Linked DNA regions of Elephas maximus indicus. The protein of the gene in region 2 binds, or shares a complex with, the protein of the main gene of each other region. Links are inferred from orthologs where the notes say so. Each region holds a gene or a part of one and is shown on either strand. Other genes may lie near its edges.

Evidence for each region.
Region 1: the proteins of PI4KB (region 2) and ACBD3 are in contact, whole or in part, in an NMR structure (PDB 2N73), measured with the Homo sapiens proteins. The link is inferred for Elephas maximus indicus from reciprocal best matches to the Homo sapiens genes PI4KB and ACBD3. Residues at the interface, in NP_001317650.1 of Homo sapiens: Val37, Gly38, Val42, Ile43, Asp44, Pro45, Val47, Ala48, Gln49, Lys50, Ala51, Cys52, Glu54, Val55, Leu56, Val59, Lys60, His63; in NP_073572.2 of Homo sapiens: Gln245, Ile246, Ala249, Leu250, Gln253, Thr254, Gln257, Phe258, Tyr261, Gln265, Tyr266, Leu276, Leu280, Gln283, His284, Gln287, Tyr288, Gln291, Leu292, Val295.

What each region holds. Positions count from the first base shown.
Region 1 is NC_064842.1:15,831,725-15,839,654, forward strand, and holds the start of ACBD3 (Golgi resident protein GCP60), read right to left. Parts: upstream 3,187-7,930; 5' UTR 3,109-3,186; coding exon 2,823-3,108; intron 1-2,822. UniProt on the Homo sapiens protein: Involved in the maintenance of Golgi structure by interacting with giantin, affecting protein transport between the endoplasmic reticulum and Golgi. Involved in hormone-induced steroid biosynthesis in testicular Leydig cells.
Region 2 is NC_064821.1:185,359,112-185,367,001, forward strand, and holds the start of PI4KB (phosphatidylinositol 4-kinase beta), read right to left. Parts: upstream 3,268-7,890; 5' UTR 3,136-3,267; intron 2,247-3,135; 5' UTR 2,051-2,246; coding exon 2,046-2,050; intron 868-2,045; exon of another isoform or gene 677-867; intron 1-676. UniProt on the Homo sapiens protein: Phosphorylates phosphatidylinositol (PI) in the first committed step in the production of the second messenger inositol-1,4,5,-trisphosphate (PIP). May regulate Golgi disintegration/reorganization during mitosis, possibly via its phosphorylation.

The DNA.
Region 1 (7,930 bases), on a different chromosome or scaffold from region 2:
CAGGTATTGCTTGCCCTTTCAGATCTTCATTGCTCTTGGCTTTCCTTCTCTCTGGAGTGGCATCTGCCTCCTCAGTTTTGCACTGCAGCTGTCACTTGGTGTTTATTTCCTCTTTTGGACTCAAAGATCCTTAATGGCAAGAGGAATGTACAATTTACCTATACACCTGGACCTGCTGCCACTGAGTCAGTTGCAACTCATAGTGACCCTATACAGCAGAGTAGAACTGCCCCACATGGTTTTCAAGGAGTGGCTGGTAGATTCGAACTGCCAACCTCTGGGTTAGCAGCCTGAGCTGTTAACCACTGCACCATTAAAACCAAAAATCCAGTGCCGTCGAGTTGATTCCGGCTCATAGCGACCCTACAGGACAGAGGAGAACTGTCCCATAGAGTTTCCAAGGAGCGCCTGGCGGATTCGAACTGCTGACCGTTTGTTTAACAGCCGTAGCACTTAACCACTACGCCACCAGGGTTTCCACTGCACCATCAGGGCTCCCTACTTAACTATAGTGCTAACCTAATATAACACTTCATCTATAATGAGGATTCAGCAAACGTCTACTGAACAAAGTTTAGATGGTAAAATACCATTATGGACTGAACTGTGCTCCCAAAAAGATGTATGAAGTCCTTGTCCCTGTCCCTGTACATATGACCCTGTTTGGAAACAGGGGTTTCTGTTGTCATGTTAATGAGGTCATGGCAGAGTAGGGCAGGTCCTAAACCTAATCCCTTCTGTGTTGTGTCAGAATAGATAGAATGAGGGTGGGGTGGTTGGGATCTACATGCAAAGAAACACCAAGGAATGCCAGCAGACACTAGAAACTATGACAGAGAGTCACAAAAGGAATTGACAGGGCCAAGACCCTGATTTGGACTTTTAGCCTCCAAACTGTGAGAGAATATTTTTTGTTATGACAGCACTGGATAATTAAGACACTTACATTTACCTACATTTTCATCTGTTATTTTACTTTTATTTTCACAAAATTAAGAGGGTAGGGAGTTGACATAATGGGTTCAGTCAGTGGCCTATGACCACTGTCACAGGGCTGGAATGAAGAACGGGGTCCCTATTTTCAATGGAAAAGATATTCATGTTTTTAAGATTCATATTTACGCCACAGGAGAAGAGAATACGTCATTTTATTTTTAATTCTTGTAAGCTATTGGTACAAAACCACAAAATAATGATCTACTAGAAATCCTTGCAAGACTGATTAAAGCACAAGGATTTCACTAGAAAAATTCACACATTAAAACAAATGCAGCAACACTTGGCTTACCCCACTTCCCATAATTCTGAGTGCTTTTGTATCCCTACTTTTCTTTTTCCCCTCAATTAGGCATCTCCTACAGTAACAGCCTCTTCATTGCTAGATGATGTAATGAGCCACGCAGAAGGGTAGCTTTTAATTGCTCCTGTGCTATTTCTCCCTCTGATATACTGAATACTGGAAAAATAAGTTCTAAGAATAAAAATTTAAGGTAGAATATAATTATATAAATTGTATAGAAACCACTAGATTTTTATAAACATGGTAATATATCATCACCACAGCAAACTTTAAATTCAAGCCGGTGACCTACAGGTCAAGTATCCAAAACCCACTAGCCATTACCAATTCCCCAAGCTAGCTAGTGCTCAGAGGGCTGAACTTCTTGTGCAATGACAAGAAATATCTCAAAGGGAAATTTTTAAATAAAAAAAATGCAATGTATATGGAATGATCAAATGTGCTGGAAAATTTCCTAAGGGACATTTTCCATAGCTTGCACAATTTAAGTTATATTTCAAGGAAAAAACTTGAAGATTTGAACTACTCAACTTCAACTAGTAAATATGTACTCAAAAAGGTACTCCCTCCAGGAATCGTGTCATGAATATGCTGTTCTGGAATATATACAGAACCTAGCAGCCACTTTAAAAGTCTCATTTGCACATTATCTCTTCCTACCCATACACCCCATGAGATCTAAGTATCTCTAAGAATCAAACCAACGACGTCTTACCAGTTTTTCCCACTGAAAAAATCATGTGACTATCACCATCATTTGACTAAGTGAATCAGCCAATAGAAAAAATCACACACTACAGTCTTGCTCTAAGAAAAAAGACATTTTTTCAATTAATTCTGCTAGAAGCACAGAAGGTACTTTTATGCCTTACTCTGAGAATTCACTCTTCCAAATTGCTTACAAGGTAAAAATTTAACCTTCCAGAAGCTGCTAGAACACAGTGGACATCCCTTCTCTTTTGAGTCTGAACAGCCGAAGGGGATGTATTGGCTTAATATTTTACTTCCTTCTCCCTGGCACATTATCGCTGCCAGGTGATTAAGTGCTATTCGACTTTATGGTTCCCCAGAATGGCTGGAGAGAGCATGTACGGAACCTATAGAAAGACTTCTCCCGCTATGGGGAATGAGGAAAACTCGGCGAGGTCTGATATCCATGCCATGGGAAACAGGAGAACGGTGAAAAGGCAACCCCAAAATGGGATCTCTGGGAGAGACAGCGCAAGGGCTTACAAAGAGGTACCTTGGCTCGTGGAAATCCGAAGAATTAAATCAGGTAAAATGCCCTGCTAACCTCGGGGAGGCGGGATTCGGGAGTGCCAAAGCAAGGTTCCAGGCCACTCAGGGGCGTGACCTGGTGGTCGAGCGGATAGTGACAAGCTTCAGGTAGCCCCAGGGGCGGAACCCTGCTCCGGTCACCGCAGTGGGTGCGGGTGAGGCTGGCCCAATCACCCCGGTGGACACAGCCCGGGTCGGGCTTCCAGCGCCAGGAAGAGGAGGGCGAGCGGCCGGCCCGGCTCACCTTTGAAGAAGCGGAGGGCCAGGCCGTACAGCTCCTCCAGGCCAAAGCCCCAGTGCAGCTCCAGCCGCCGCGCCTCCTCCGCCGCGCCCCCAGCCGCCGTCTCCCCGGGCTCCGGCTGCTCCCCTGCGGCGCCCGGGCCCCGGCCCGACCCCGGAGGCGAGGGTGGCGGCAGCGGCGGTGGCAGCAGCGGGGCGCCCTCCGCACCAGGCCGCTCCTCCGGGTCTGGGCTTAGCGTGAGGCCGTCGACAGACACCTCCAGTCGCTCTGCGTTCAGCACCGCCGCCATCTCCGGCTGCTGCGCCTCCTCGGCGGGGACAGGCGGCGGCCACGTATCGACTTCCTGCTGACCTCCGACCTCCACTCACCGACACCGGAACTTCCGCTGCTGAGGAGGCTCAAGGGCTCTGGGAGAGGGTCTGATGCCTGGTGCCCCGCCCCTCCGGGGCCATAAGCCCCGCCCCCGCGACCACCCGCCCCGCCCCGCCCCTTAGGTCCCGCCCACGGGGGAAACCCCCCGCCCCGGCGCCTTCACCGTGTCCTCTCTGACCTTAGCTCCTTGCGGTTGGCAAGTGCTCCGTCCCAACGCCCCCCATCCCGGCCGCCCTCTGGACTGCGTTCTACCCCGCGACTGTCGGTGTCCGGCAGGGCCGAGGTCAGGAGAGCCCGCTGGGGTCGGTGCGCGGAGGACAAGGATTCAGGCAAGCACCCTGCCCTTCGGGTCCTAGGACCTTCACGTTCGTGAGCAGTTGTGTGGTTTGCAGAACTCTCTTGCCCACCAGTTTCGTTTGTTCTTCACAGCATCTTTGAGGGATGCAGGGCAAATGCCTTTTTTTTTTTAAGAGGCAACTGAGGCTGCAGAGAAAGTCGGTGACTTCTTTGAAGTGGTTGTAGACAGGGGCAGGTTCTAGTTTTGCAGTAACTGAAGCTCATACAACCTGTGGGGCCCTCTTTAACATAAAAAATACAAAAATTACAAACAGAAATGTAGGTAGGAAAGTGAGTATAGATTTAGTGAGAAAGAAATCACAAATGACATTTTTAAACATCTTCCAGATCAGACATCTAACCCTGTTGCTAATAGTTTTAAAAGTTAAAATCCACAAACAGCACACACACACTGTCTTAGTCATCTAGTGCTGCTGTAACAGAAATACCACAAGTGGATGGCTTTAATAAAGAAATTTATTTCCTCACGGTAAAGTAGGCTGAAAGTCCAAATTCAGGGTGTCATTTCTAGGGGAATGCTTTGTCTCACTGTCGGCTCTGGAGGAAGGTCCTTGTCCTCGATCTTCCCCTGGTCAAGGAACCCTGGGTCCAAAAGACAAGCTCTGCTCCCTGCACTGCTTTTTTGTTGGTCTGAGGTCCCCCCTCTGTGCGCGCTTCCCTTTCCTTTTTATCTCTTAAGAGATAAAAGGTGGTGCAGGCCACACCCCAGGGAAACTCTCTTTACATTGAATTAGGGATGTGACCTAGGTAAGGGTGTTACAATCCTACCCTAATCCTTTTTAACATAGAATTACAATCACAAAATGGAGAACCACACAGTACTGAGAATCATGGCCTAACCAAGTTGACACATATTTTGGGGGGACACAATTCAATCCGTGACACACACACAACCATAAAATTTTTATTAACTGCCTGATACACTTCTATAGGGTGTTTATAAAGTCTGAAAGCATAATTTTTTCATTCTGTTTGTTTTAAATATTAAAGATGTCCTTGATGACATTATGTTCATCTGTGTTTCCAGACCTCATGGACACCCTTTATAATAACTTTTCCTACATTTTTGGCTGCATATTGGATCACCTTTTCCTATGGTAATTATTTTGTAATATTGTATTAAAAAAAAATACAAAGATCAATATCTTTTGTCTAGAGTGGCCAATCAATATTTTTTATTTTTAATTGTTTATAAGTTACTTTCAACTTCACAACTCAATACTGATACTGTCATGTTTAGGGTTTTGGTCAAAACTGGGAAACTACTGAGTTTCTCTCATATATGAGCTATAATATTTCAGGGCCATTTGACTACTTCAGTGGCAGTTTTGCATGCAGTTTTTACTGGAACCCCAGAGTTTTTCAGGACAAAATTTGTCTATTGCATTAAGGCATCATCTGACCTGTGCGGATAAATAAAACATGTGACTTCACATATAGACAGGCTCACTATAGTACAACTACAACTTTGTGCCCTGTAAACACAGGAGTTCTAATATATTCCATTTTGCATGATTTCCATTAAAAAGAGGTATGGTACATTTATAATTGTATGTATGACATTACTTAGTAGATTCTGTGATGAGGGAGAACCTCCGTTTTGATTAGGCATTGACAGAAGTGATCCCTCCACTTACTAATTTACTTCTGATAGTTGGAAGAGTTTTCTATGGTCTAGCTTCTCAGTCCTTTTATTTCAAACCTTATTTCTCTTCTATTACCCATGTACTTACTGTACCAGGCACCACAGAAGTTCTTTGCCCTCGGGCTCTGCACCTTGGTGACATAGTGCTGGCTGAGTTGGCATAATGGGTAGCAGGTGTATTCCAGAAAGCCATTTTTACACCCACAGTGAGCAATATTTTTAACAGTACCCGGAAGTGACTGTGAACCACATAAATGCATGCCACTAAACTCAAATTAAATGTGTCCCTTATTTAATCATCGTCCCCTAGACAGATCCCCCAAAAGTCTGGGGTCATTCTGATACCACCTAACACAGAGAGGAGTGATGGAAGGGAAGCCAGAATGCAAAGAGAGAGTGACCTTAAATATCTTACTTTTCAAATTAAAAAAAAATATTGGACCACGTGAATATACTGGTAGGGCCCCTATGAGGGCCTTGGTAAACCCACTTCTGAGTTGTAGGGGACTCAAAATTAATTCTACTACTCTAAGTCCAGTGGTTTTTCTACTTAGCTTTGATCTCTAGATTTAGCTTTAATTCATTTTAAAATAGACACATTACAAGGCCTACCCTCTAAGAAGTCATAAATATATTACCTTGCTGTGTCTAGCTCAGCATTCTACCTTTACTTACCAATAACTGTTGAAGGTGAAAATGAGATGGTAAATATACCTCTACTTCTGTTTTCCAAGTTGTCTGCAATAACCATTTCATTTGCAATCAGGAAAAAAAAGTTATTTTTAAAAACAGTATAAATATTAAAACTTAATATAATCAGGAAGATGGATAGGTAAAACACACTATGTTTTTGGAATTTAACGTACTGAATATTCTTGAAGAACGTGAACCATCTAGCTAATAGAATCATCAGGGACATACTCTAGGTAGTTGGCTCTTAAAAAAAACCAAACCCAGTGCCATCAAGTCGATTCCAACTCATAGCAACCCTATAGGACGGAGTAGAACTGCCCCATAGAGTTTCCAAGGAGTACCTGGCAGATTCCAACTGCTGACCCTTTGATTAGGAGCCATAGCATTTAACCACTGTGCCACCAGGGTTGCTCTTAGAGACCTAAAAAAAGATTAGCAAATAGAACTCCCTTTTACGAACCCATTGTGGGAGATGAGTTCTAGACATTCAGTATAGTAAGAGGTCGAAATTTTTTTTTATATATAATTTTTATTGCGCTTTAAGTGAAAGTTTACAAATCAAGTCAGTCTCTCATACAAAAACTTATATACACCTTGCTACACACTCCCAATTACTTTCCCCCTACTGAGACAGCCCGCTCTCTCCCACCACTCTCTCTTTTCGTGTCCATTTCACCAGCTTCTAACCCCCTCCACCCTCTCGTCTCTCCTCCAGGCAGGAGATGCCAACATAGTCTCAAGTGTCTACCTGATCCAAGAAGCTCACTCCTCACCAGCATCCCTCTCCAACCCATTGCCCAGTCCAATCCATGTCTGAGGAGTTGACTTCGGGAACGGTTCCTGTCCTGGGGCAACAGAAGGTCTGGGGGCCAAGACCACCAGGGTCCTTCTAGTCTCAGTCAGACCATTAAGTTTGGTCTTTTTTATGAGAATTTGGGGTCTGCATCCCACTGCTCTCCTGCTCCAAGAGGTCAAACTTTAATATGCATAGGAATTACCTGAGGATTTTGTTAAACTACAGATTCTGACTCAGTAGGTCTGGAAAGGTCCCTGAGAGTCTGCATTTCTGATAAGCTTTCTGGTGATGCTGCTGTCTGTAGACAACACTTTGAATAGCAGGATTTGAGAAAATGTTTTCACAACTTTGTTGTCGTTGTTAGCTGCTGTCAAGTTAGCCCCTGACTCATGGTGACCCCATGAGTAACACCGACCAGTTCTGCACCATCCACCACGATCGGTTGCAGAATGGACCATTGTGATCCATACGGTTTTCACTGGCTGATTTTCAGAAGTAAATCGCGATCCAGGCTTTCCTTCGTTTTGTCCGTCTTAGTCTGGAGGCCCCTCTAAAACCTGTTCAGCGTCATAGCAACACGCAAGCCTCCACTGACAGACAGTTGGGTGGTAGCTGTGCATGGTGCACTGACCAGAAATTGAACCCCAGTCTCACACATGGAAGGTGAAAATTCTATCACTGAACCACACTTACTGAGGTATAATTGATGTACAAATAAACTGCAAATTAAAGTTTACAGTGAGTTTTGATGTGTGTATATACCTGTAAAACTATTACCACAATTAACAAACATATCCATCATCCATTTTATAGCCCCTCCCCAAAACTTTTCAATAGACGTTTGCTATGATACGCCTGTCACTGTAGCAACAAGATAAATAAGGTAGTATTGGATTATAACCCAAAGTATAAACATCCACCAGTTTCTACTGATATAGATAAATGACTGTGTAAATAAATAAATGGGGGAAAGACACAAATCTCCCTTCCAAAGAATTTCAAATAATTTATGTAGATACTCTGCCCTCAAGCAGGTAGAGCGTAACTCTCCACTTCTTAGTGAGGGCTGCATGTAGTGACTTCCTTCCAAAGAGTACAGTATGAAAACCCAAAACAAAACCCACTGCTGTCGAGTCGATTCCAACTCATAGTGACCCTATAGGACAGGGTAGAACTGCCTCATAGGGTTTCCAAGGCTGTAAATCCTTACAGAAGCAGACTGGCATATCTTTGTCCCTCAGAGTGGCT
Region 2 (7,890 bases):
TTATAGGACAGAGTAGAACTGTCCCAAAGGGTTTCCAAGGAGTGGCTGGTGGATTCGAACTGCTAACCTTTTGCTTAGCAGCCACACTATTAACCACTGCGTCCCAGAGCTCCAATGAAAAAGAAAAAATAGGCTAAATTATATTAAAGGTATATAAATGTCCAGTAGAAGAAATAAAAATAATGACATAATTATATAAACACGGAGTATAAATCCCCTAAAGCTAAATCCTCTTTTATAACAATTAATACATCAAGAAACAGCGGCATAAGCATTCTACGTACAGTGACGGCAATAACCTTCAGAGCTAAACACTGAGATAATTAAAAGAGGTTAAATCTGAGGACTAGGAATAGGGACGAGTGGAAAGAGACTTTTCATCATAAACTCCTGAATTTGTTACCAAGTGCATGTATTTCTTCAATAATAATTTCTCTAAAAGAAGTTGATTTTCAAAAGAGACCCTCTATCACCTTAGGCTACTTGTCCTTCTGTTAAGAAGTTCCTCGTCATGTCTTAAGGTCTAACACAAACCTTTCTTTAAGGATGCTTCAGCTCATCTCCTCTTTGACCTCAATGTCAAGGTGGAGATAGTGTACTTCTCTTTCCTTGCAGAAACTTAGGGCCAAGCTGTCGAGCAGGCTCAAGCCCCACCAGGAACTAGGTAAATGCTTACCCGAGGCCCCAGGGGGTGGCGGCATCAAGGGAGAGGGCATTCTCAAGCTGCCAGCAGAAGGGTAGGGAGGGCAGTGGTCTCAGGGTAGTTAAATCAATATTGAATCAGGCTGAGAGCTCTCTGCACAGGGCCATGGAGCTGGTATAAGCAGATTCCAGCCAGACAGCCCAAGCCAGCTCTGGGAGCCCCTGCTGAAACAGACAGATGGTAAAGGAAGCAACTTGCACATTCACCTCTCTCTGAACTGTTCCCCCCCTACCAAGCCCCAAATGCACCTTGACTAGGCTCTCTCTTATCCCCTGCCAATTATTGAAAGGGTCCTCCCAGCCTCTTTCCCAAATCAAAGAATCTCAATTCACTACTTTGGATGGTGTTCAGCAAACATGTTCTCTCCATGCAATGTGACCTCAACTCTGAGAAGGAAGCAGGGAAACTAGGGGAAGTATGACTTCTGGTTGGGGATGTTTTCCAAATTGCTTCTAAAAAGGGGTATTATGAGGAGACTGCACTCTGATAAAGAGGAGGAAGACAAGGCAGAAGCGGGACAAGGTAGTAGGACTGCTTCATACTTCAGACAGGCCTAGAGTTAAAGATGAATGGAGCTTCACATGTCCTCTTCACTATCATGGGCCAAGTCAGAGACATGGCATACATACAAGGCAGCAACTAGTCTCCTAAGTCCCAGATCACTCCAAGTTCTCTTTTCCAGACAGCTTCCTCAAAGGGCTTTCCCACAAACATACTTTCTACCTATTGAATCTGGAATTGTGGATTAAGCTGACAGCTCAGGAGGTCAGCAACCTAATGTGACAGGAAAAAAAGACAGATGAGAGAAGCAGACTTAGAGCTTGTCTTTCAAACTGACTTACTTTCATGGCTGTAGATTAGAAAGACCCAACGGAGATCAAGATGAAAGAAAATTCTCAGGGCGACTAAACCACTCCTATCAAATACCTTTTGTCTGATGAACCCAGAGGATGTTTTGTAAACAAAAAAACCAAGTCTAATTTTTCTCCCAACCCTCATTCTACTGTTAGTCTATTACTGCAGTGATGCCTTTAGAGTGGGCCATTTTCCCAAAAAGGTCATTCTAAAGGTCAAGTGAGGAAGTCACATGCTGAACCCAGGAGTCCTAATTCCAAATGTATAAGCTCTTTCCATTGTCCCATGTTCCTTTTCCCAGTTACCACCCCCCCCCCATCCCACCCCAGGCCTGTGCTCTCAGGGAATCAACCAAAACTATTCTACTAAGCCACAGGCACGTAAACTGACTCCTCTTGGCTCTGGACGGGGTGGGAAGGCACTCTAGTCTGTGATCCCTTTAAAACAAGCCTAAAATTAAATAATCCGAAACAAAATTTCTCACAACCTCATTCAGTTTCCAGGCCTGTTCATCCCTGCCAGTGGTTGCTCCTGAGTAGTCAACAAAGTGTAATCTGATAGACTTCTTCAAAATTTGCTCCATCCTTCAGAATCACCCTTCTGTCCAGAAAAGCCTGAGACAGCTGAGGCTCCCCCTCTTCCCAATACATTTTCTTCTTAGTTCAAGGTTTAGCTGATCCTGAAATAACTGGTATGTGGAGATAAAGAGTGTGAAAGAGAAGACATAGAGACCAAAGGGAAAACAGAACCAAATGTCACAAGATCAGGCAAAATCTCTGAAACTCTAGGGAGAAGGTGTCAAAAGTTAGAAATCCTGAATGGGCAGGGGCACTGTCAGATCTTTTATTCCCCTCAGAAACAAACCTCCAGAGGCTGGGGGATTGAAAAGGGGGAAGAGAAACTAAATAAAGTTACAGGGATCAGATAGCATTCCGGAGAAGAAGGGTGAGGATTATGGTCAAAGCAGAATGCTAACAGTACTGTGGGAATGATGCTGAGAGCATTAAATCCCTTAAGGAGAGGGGGATAGGTAACTTTTGGAAACCAAGAGTCGCTGGGTGGGTGGGTGGCAGTAAAGTAATAGAATCAGAAGAAGCAGAAGAAGAAAGGGCCACATCTTTAGCTGAGGGAAATGGGAACCCAGTGCTAGGGTTGCACAGAGACCTCGGAGCAAAGGGGTAAAAGAGGAAAAAGGATAAAGGAGGGGTCTATGGGAAAGGTTTGAGGCAGGGGCACAGGCAACGAGGAAGGACAAGCAAGGATGGACATTACAGAAGGCATCCTGATACGGAAGGGTTTAAGAAAATAATTTCGGGACGGAGGCAACAGGGATAAAAGTGAGGGAGGAGGAATCCCCGGGGCAAGGGGAGGAGTTAAAAGAGGAAGCCAAAAAGCAGAGGAGGATCCCAGGCCTAAAAAGAAAGGGTGGAGAAGGAACCCGGGGTGCAGCTGCCACCGGGGGGGCAATTCTGTAGTCGAATCCAGGTTTTGAGGGGGAGGGTGGGTAGGCTGTGCGGGACAGGGTGAGAGAGCCCCCCGAGAGGGCAAGGGTAACTCACGGGGGTGGAGTCGCCTACCTCCGGGGGACCCCCGCGGAGGGGGTGCGGGCGGTCGGGGTCGGGCTGCCGGCACCCCGCCTCAGCAGCAGCGGCCGCTCCCGGGCTCCATTGGCCGCCTCCGCTTTCCTGACAGCGGCCGCGGCGGCTGCACCAGGCCCTGGCTGCGGGGCTGCCCTCGGCGCTGCCTGAAGGGGCCTTCGCGCAGCCCCAAGTTCGACCGGGCCGCGCAACCTCCTCTTCCTCGCCTCGTACAACCAAGGAAAAAAAAAAAATTCCCAGCAGGTACTGATGTAGATTCCTCTCCCGAGTCCCAGTCCTTCTTCCCGAGGTCGGCTTCCTTGCTTCCCCGACGCTCAGGACCCTACCGATCCCATAGTAACCTAAAGAGTCGGGTGAGCTGCCCGGAACATGCCTGTTCAGAAATTTAAAAGGGGGAGGAGACGAGATAGTTGGAAGCTAAAGAGGGAGGCGGGCGAAGGGAGGAGCCTATGGATGGAAGGAGGGGCCAATCTTTGAGAGGCGGCCCTAAGGGAGGGGTTCCGAGACTAAGGAAGCCGAGAGGGAAGTAAATTTGTAGGGTAAGGTTCCCGCGCTCCCGGCCGTGAGCAGACAGAGGCCGGGTGGACAAACGGGAGTGCGTGCCCCTGTTAGAGGAGACGTACAGACATATCGGGTACTTCCATGAGTACATGAACTTGCAAGTTATATGTAAATGAGCCCGTTTTAGTTAGCCACCGAGTTACCGTAACTTCAGACAGTAGCATTCTCCCCTCCCCTGTCCTACACGGACTCCCTGAGCAAATCAGGTTGTGGGATGGAAAAGGGGAGGGGAGAAAAAGGGAAGATAGTTACCCTCACTACCCTTTTCCTACTCATCTTTAAGGACGGTGCCAAGATTACGCCCCTTATCACTTCGGGAATGGCGCGGTCCAACCACGTCAGTCTTAACGCCGTTAGCGGCCAGACTCGAGGCCGTGGTTCTGCCTCCGAGGTCCTCCCGCCTAGGCAGCTTTTGGCCTCCAGCCTCGGACGCCGAGCCCTCCAGGGAGGAGCTGGCCTGGGGCTGGCCAGGGCAAGGTTGGGAGAGGTGAGTGAAATGTCAAAGACTTGGAGGACACAACCCTTCCTTCAAAACAAAATAAACCAAAAACCAAACCCCTTGCTGTCGAGTGGATTCCGACTCACAGCGACCCTATAGGACAGAGGAGAACTGTTTCCAAGGCTGTAATCTTTACGGAAGCGGACTGCCACATCTTTCCCCTGCAGAGCGGCTGGTGGGTTCGAACTGCGGACTTTTCGGTTAACATCCCAGCACTTAACCACTGCACCACCAGGGCTCCTGTTAAAATAAGACTAAACAAAAACACAACCTGTAAATGCGGGTTAGCGTCATTGATTGAAAGCTGTCCTTCAGAGCCTGTATCCCAGCTCCTTGTAGAACTTTACTTAATATTTAAATTGAGACTAGTTGTTTGTTTGAACCCAGATCTTGGATGCTTCCCTGGCATTTACAGGCTGAGTGATTTCAGATGACTGATTTAACCTTTTTGAACCTCAGTTTCCATGACTGTAAAGAGGCTGCAGTAATATTTATACTTTACAGAGTTTTGTGATGGTTAAGAGAGCGCATATTACTAGTATATTACTATTACTGGGACAGTAAGATGATGAAGGAGCCCTGGTGGCACAGTTTGGCTGCTAACCAAAAGGTTGGCAGTTCAAATTCACCAGCTGCTGCTTGGAAATCCTATGGGGCAGTTCTACTCTGTCCTGTAGGGTTGCTATGAGTCAGAATCACTGATGGCAACAGGCCTCTTTTTTTTTTTTTAAGATGATGAACGAAAAAAGGAAAGAGGGCCACTGCTTCAGTGTTTAATTGGAAGGCAGAATAGAGTAATAGCTTGAAAATACATATGAAAAACATGTAACATATACAAAAGTAGAACAAATGGAGTACCTAATTGCTGAAGGAACGTGGAAGACTTTAGTTAATACAGAGGGCCTAGCCACTCACTATAAAAAGAATTAATGAATGGAAGGCTTCTCAGAAATATTGTGAGCCACTTCTTAGATGTTGGATATGATCCAGCAGAACAAAAAGGAGAGAGGATTCTAAGGCAAAAAAAGTGTTGAAGAATAGAAATGGAAATTTGCTGAAATCCTGAGGCTAGGGTGAGCAGATATTAGCTAGTTTAAAGAAGGAGTACAGTAATGAAAGATAAGCTGAGTAAGAGGCATAGAGTGCCAAAGATAGTTTAAATTTGTCACCACTGGTCTGGAGTGGGGGGAATCACCAGTCCACCTGTCAGGCCCAGCCCTTGCCCAGCTTTCAACCAGCTGTCAGGCAAGTACCAAGAGGTGATGAGCCTGCTTTAGCCTAGAGTTTAAAATATTACAACACCTTAGGGGGTAGGGTTCTGAAGGGCTACAAGACTAGCCTTTTGAAACATTGCACAAAGAGATGGGCAGCCCTACTTTTTTTATAGTACGAAGCTTTTCATTTTCCAGTGACAAAAACAAGATTTCAGGAACATCTGTTCCAAGGGAGGGAGGAACTTTTTATAAGTCCAGGCAGTTTTAAGTCCTTTATTAACCAAGTGAGACCCCGCCCCCCAAAGCATTGAGTATTAAGTAGAAGAGTTTGTTTCAAGTTTTCTGTATTTATATCTCTAAGGGTTTATATATGTATGTTTCTTTGCATCTCTTTATGACTGTCTTTCTGCCTTTTTCTGGAGTTTTTTTCGTTGCCCTGTTTCCATCAGTCTCCACCTTTCTTCCTTTCTTCTCAGTCCTTAACTGTCAAAATTTTAAACTGAAGGTTACTTTTTGTTTTACATTTTAAATTTAAAAGCACAGCATCTGATAACTACTCACCCCACCGAACTTTTTCTTTTTTTTTTTAAGTTGGTTTTTGACAGAAAAAATATCACTCTCCTCTGTTAGGTAGGATGTCACTGCAGGCGTGTAGATGGTTTCACACGGATGACATGTGCCCCTGGGGGAACCCACACTGTTTTGAGTGCATGTGAAGTCTCTTGGTGGGTAAGTGTATGTATGTGTGGCACATTAGGGTGAGGGGTGGGGCAGGAAAGTGCCAACAGAGCAGGATCATGTCATTTACTTGTCTTATTTAAATTGCATCAAATGGGGGAAAGATGTTGGCTTATTATTCAAAAGTTGGTTAAAAAAAATACCAGATCCATGTCATAATACAGGTTAAAGGAATTATAGACTGAATTTTTCCCCTGAATCATAGACATTAGGAGCTTTTTTTTCAAGGAAAAGAAAAAGCAGCAGGTATTGCTTGAGTCCTTACTGTGTCTGAGTACAAATATTACCTCATTTATTCTTCATTACAACCCTGTGAAATAGATTTTATCCTATTTTATGGAAACTGAGCTTCAGAATAGTTGTCATTTTTTTTTTTTCAAAATTGTTTTACTTCAACCCATGATAAGAAATACATTTTATATTATGACCACTGAAAAACACATATGTGTTAACTGAAATAAAAGTTTCTGGAAAGAATACTTACCCTTACTATGTGCCATGAACCCAGTGTTTTCTGTTCTATTTCATTTTTTTGAAGTGCTGTTTGCAACCTGCTAAATGGATTTCACAACCCGTGAAGGGGTTGCGATCAAACTGTGAATGCAGTTTGAAAAAACTGAGCTCAATAAAATGTTCAAAATTATCTGGTAAGTGGTAAAGCTAAGATTTGAGCCTAACTTATGTTCTTCCCAGTAAACAATTGCCTCCCGAAGAACATGTCTTAAGAAATACTACATTATATATGTTTATACTTAGCTTTATCCCCCTGGATAGAGTCAGCAAGTTAATCTTAGATGAAGGGGTAGGCCTTTTGGCAAACCATGAAGCAAAACACTTAGACAAATAGCCAATGACATAAATTTCCCCATTTGGTATGTAAGTGAATGTGGCATTTGCTTTGATTTCTAAAGAAAGCCAATTATTAACCATAAATATAAACAAATTATTTGGGACCACAGACTAGAGATGTAGAATTTGTCTTGGTTTAATTAGTAGTAAAAGATTATTTCAAAATTTTAGCAAATTATAAATTATCTTTAGTATTTGTGACAGCTAAAATAGGAAAAGATGATACTGGGGGGAGAGGGGGGTGTGGGGAACAGGGAATTGCAGAGGAGGAGGAGGAGGAGGAATGGTAGCAGGGAAGTAGTAGGTAGCTCCCCAAATCCCAGTTTAGCCCTTCATCTCATAAACTGAAGATTCCTCAAACTGCAGGCTCATTTGTTTCACGGCAGATTTAAAAAATATGGTGGAAGAAGCTATTTTAGAACCCCACAACACTCATGCAAATCTCAGAATCATCCAGCGTCCTGGTCTCCCAAAGGGAATGGCTATATCCTCAACCCCAATCATAGTGAGGATAGTATTTTCTTGGATGCTTCCATCACTAGTGCTTTATTTTTCCATATACTTTTCACCTGTCAGCAGCCTGGTCCAGTCCCACATCTCTTCCCACATGGATAAAAGTAACTTAACAGTGGCCTGGCTGGTTCCTTTGACTCCAGTTCTTCCATCCTCTAATGGAAACCTCATACCACTCATTCATTCACTTGACAAATACCTCTAATGGTTGTGTGTTGTTTTTTCTTCTGGTGCATTTCTCACTATTCTTCCTACACATCTCTTCTGACAGGCCTCTTTAATGTGTTTGTACTGCTGTGCCTTTATTCACACCCCATGCCCCTATTCCCTGCTTCTCCTGGAATGCCCCCCCTTTTTCAC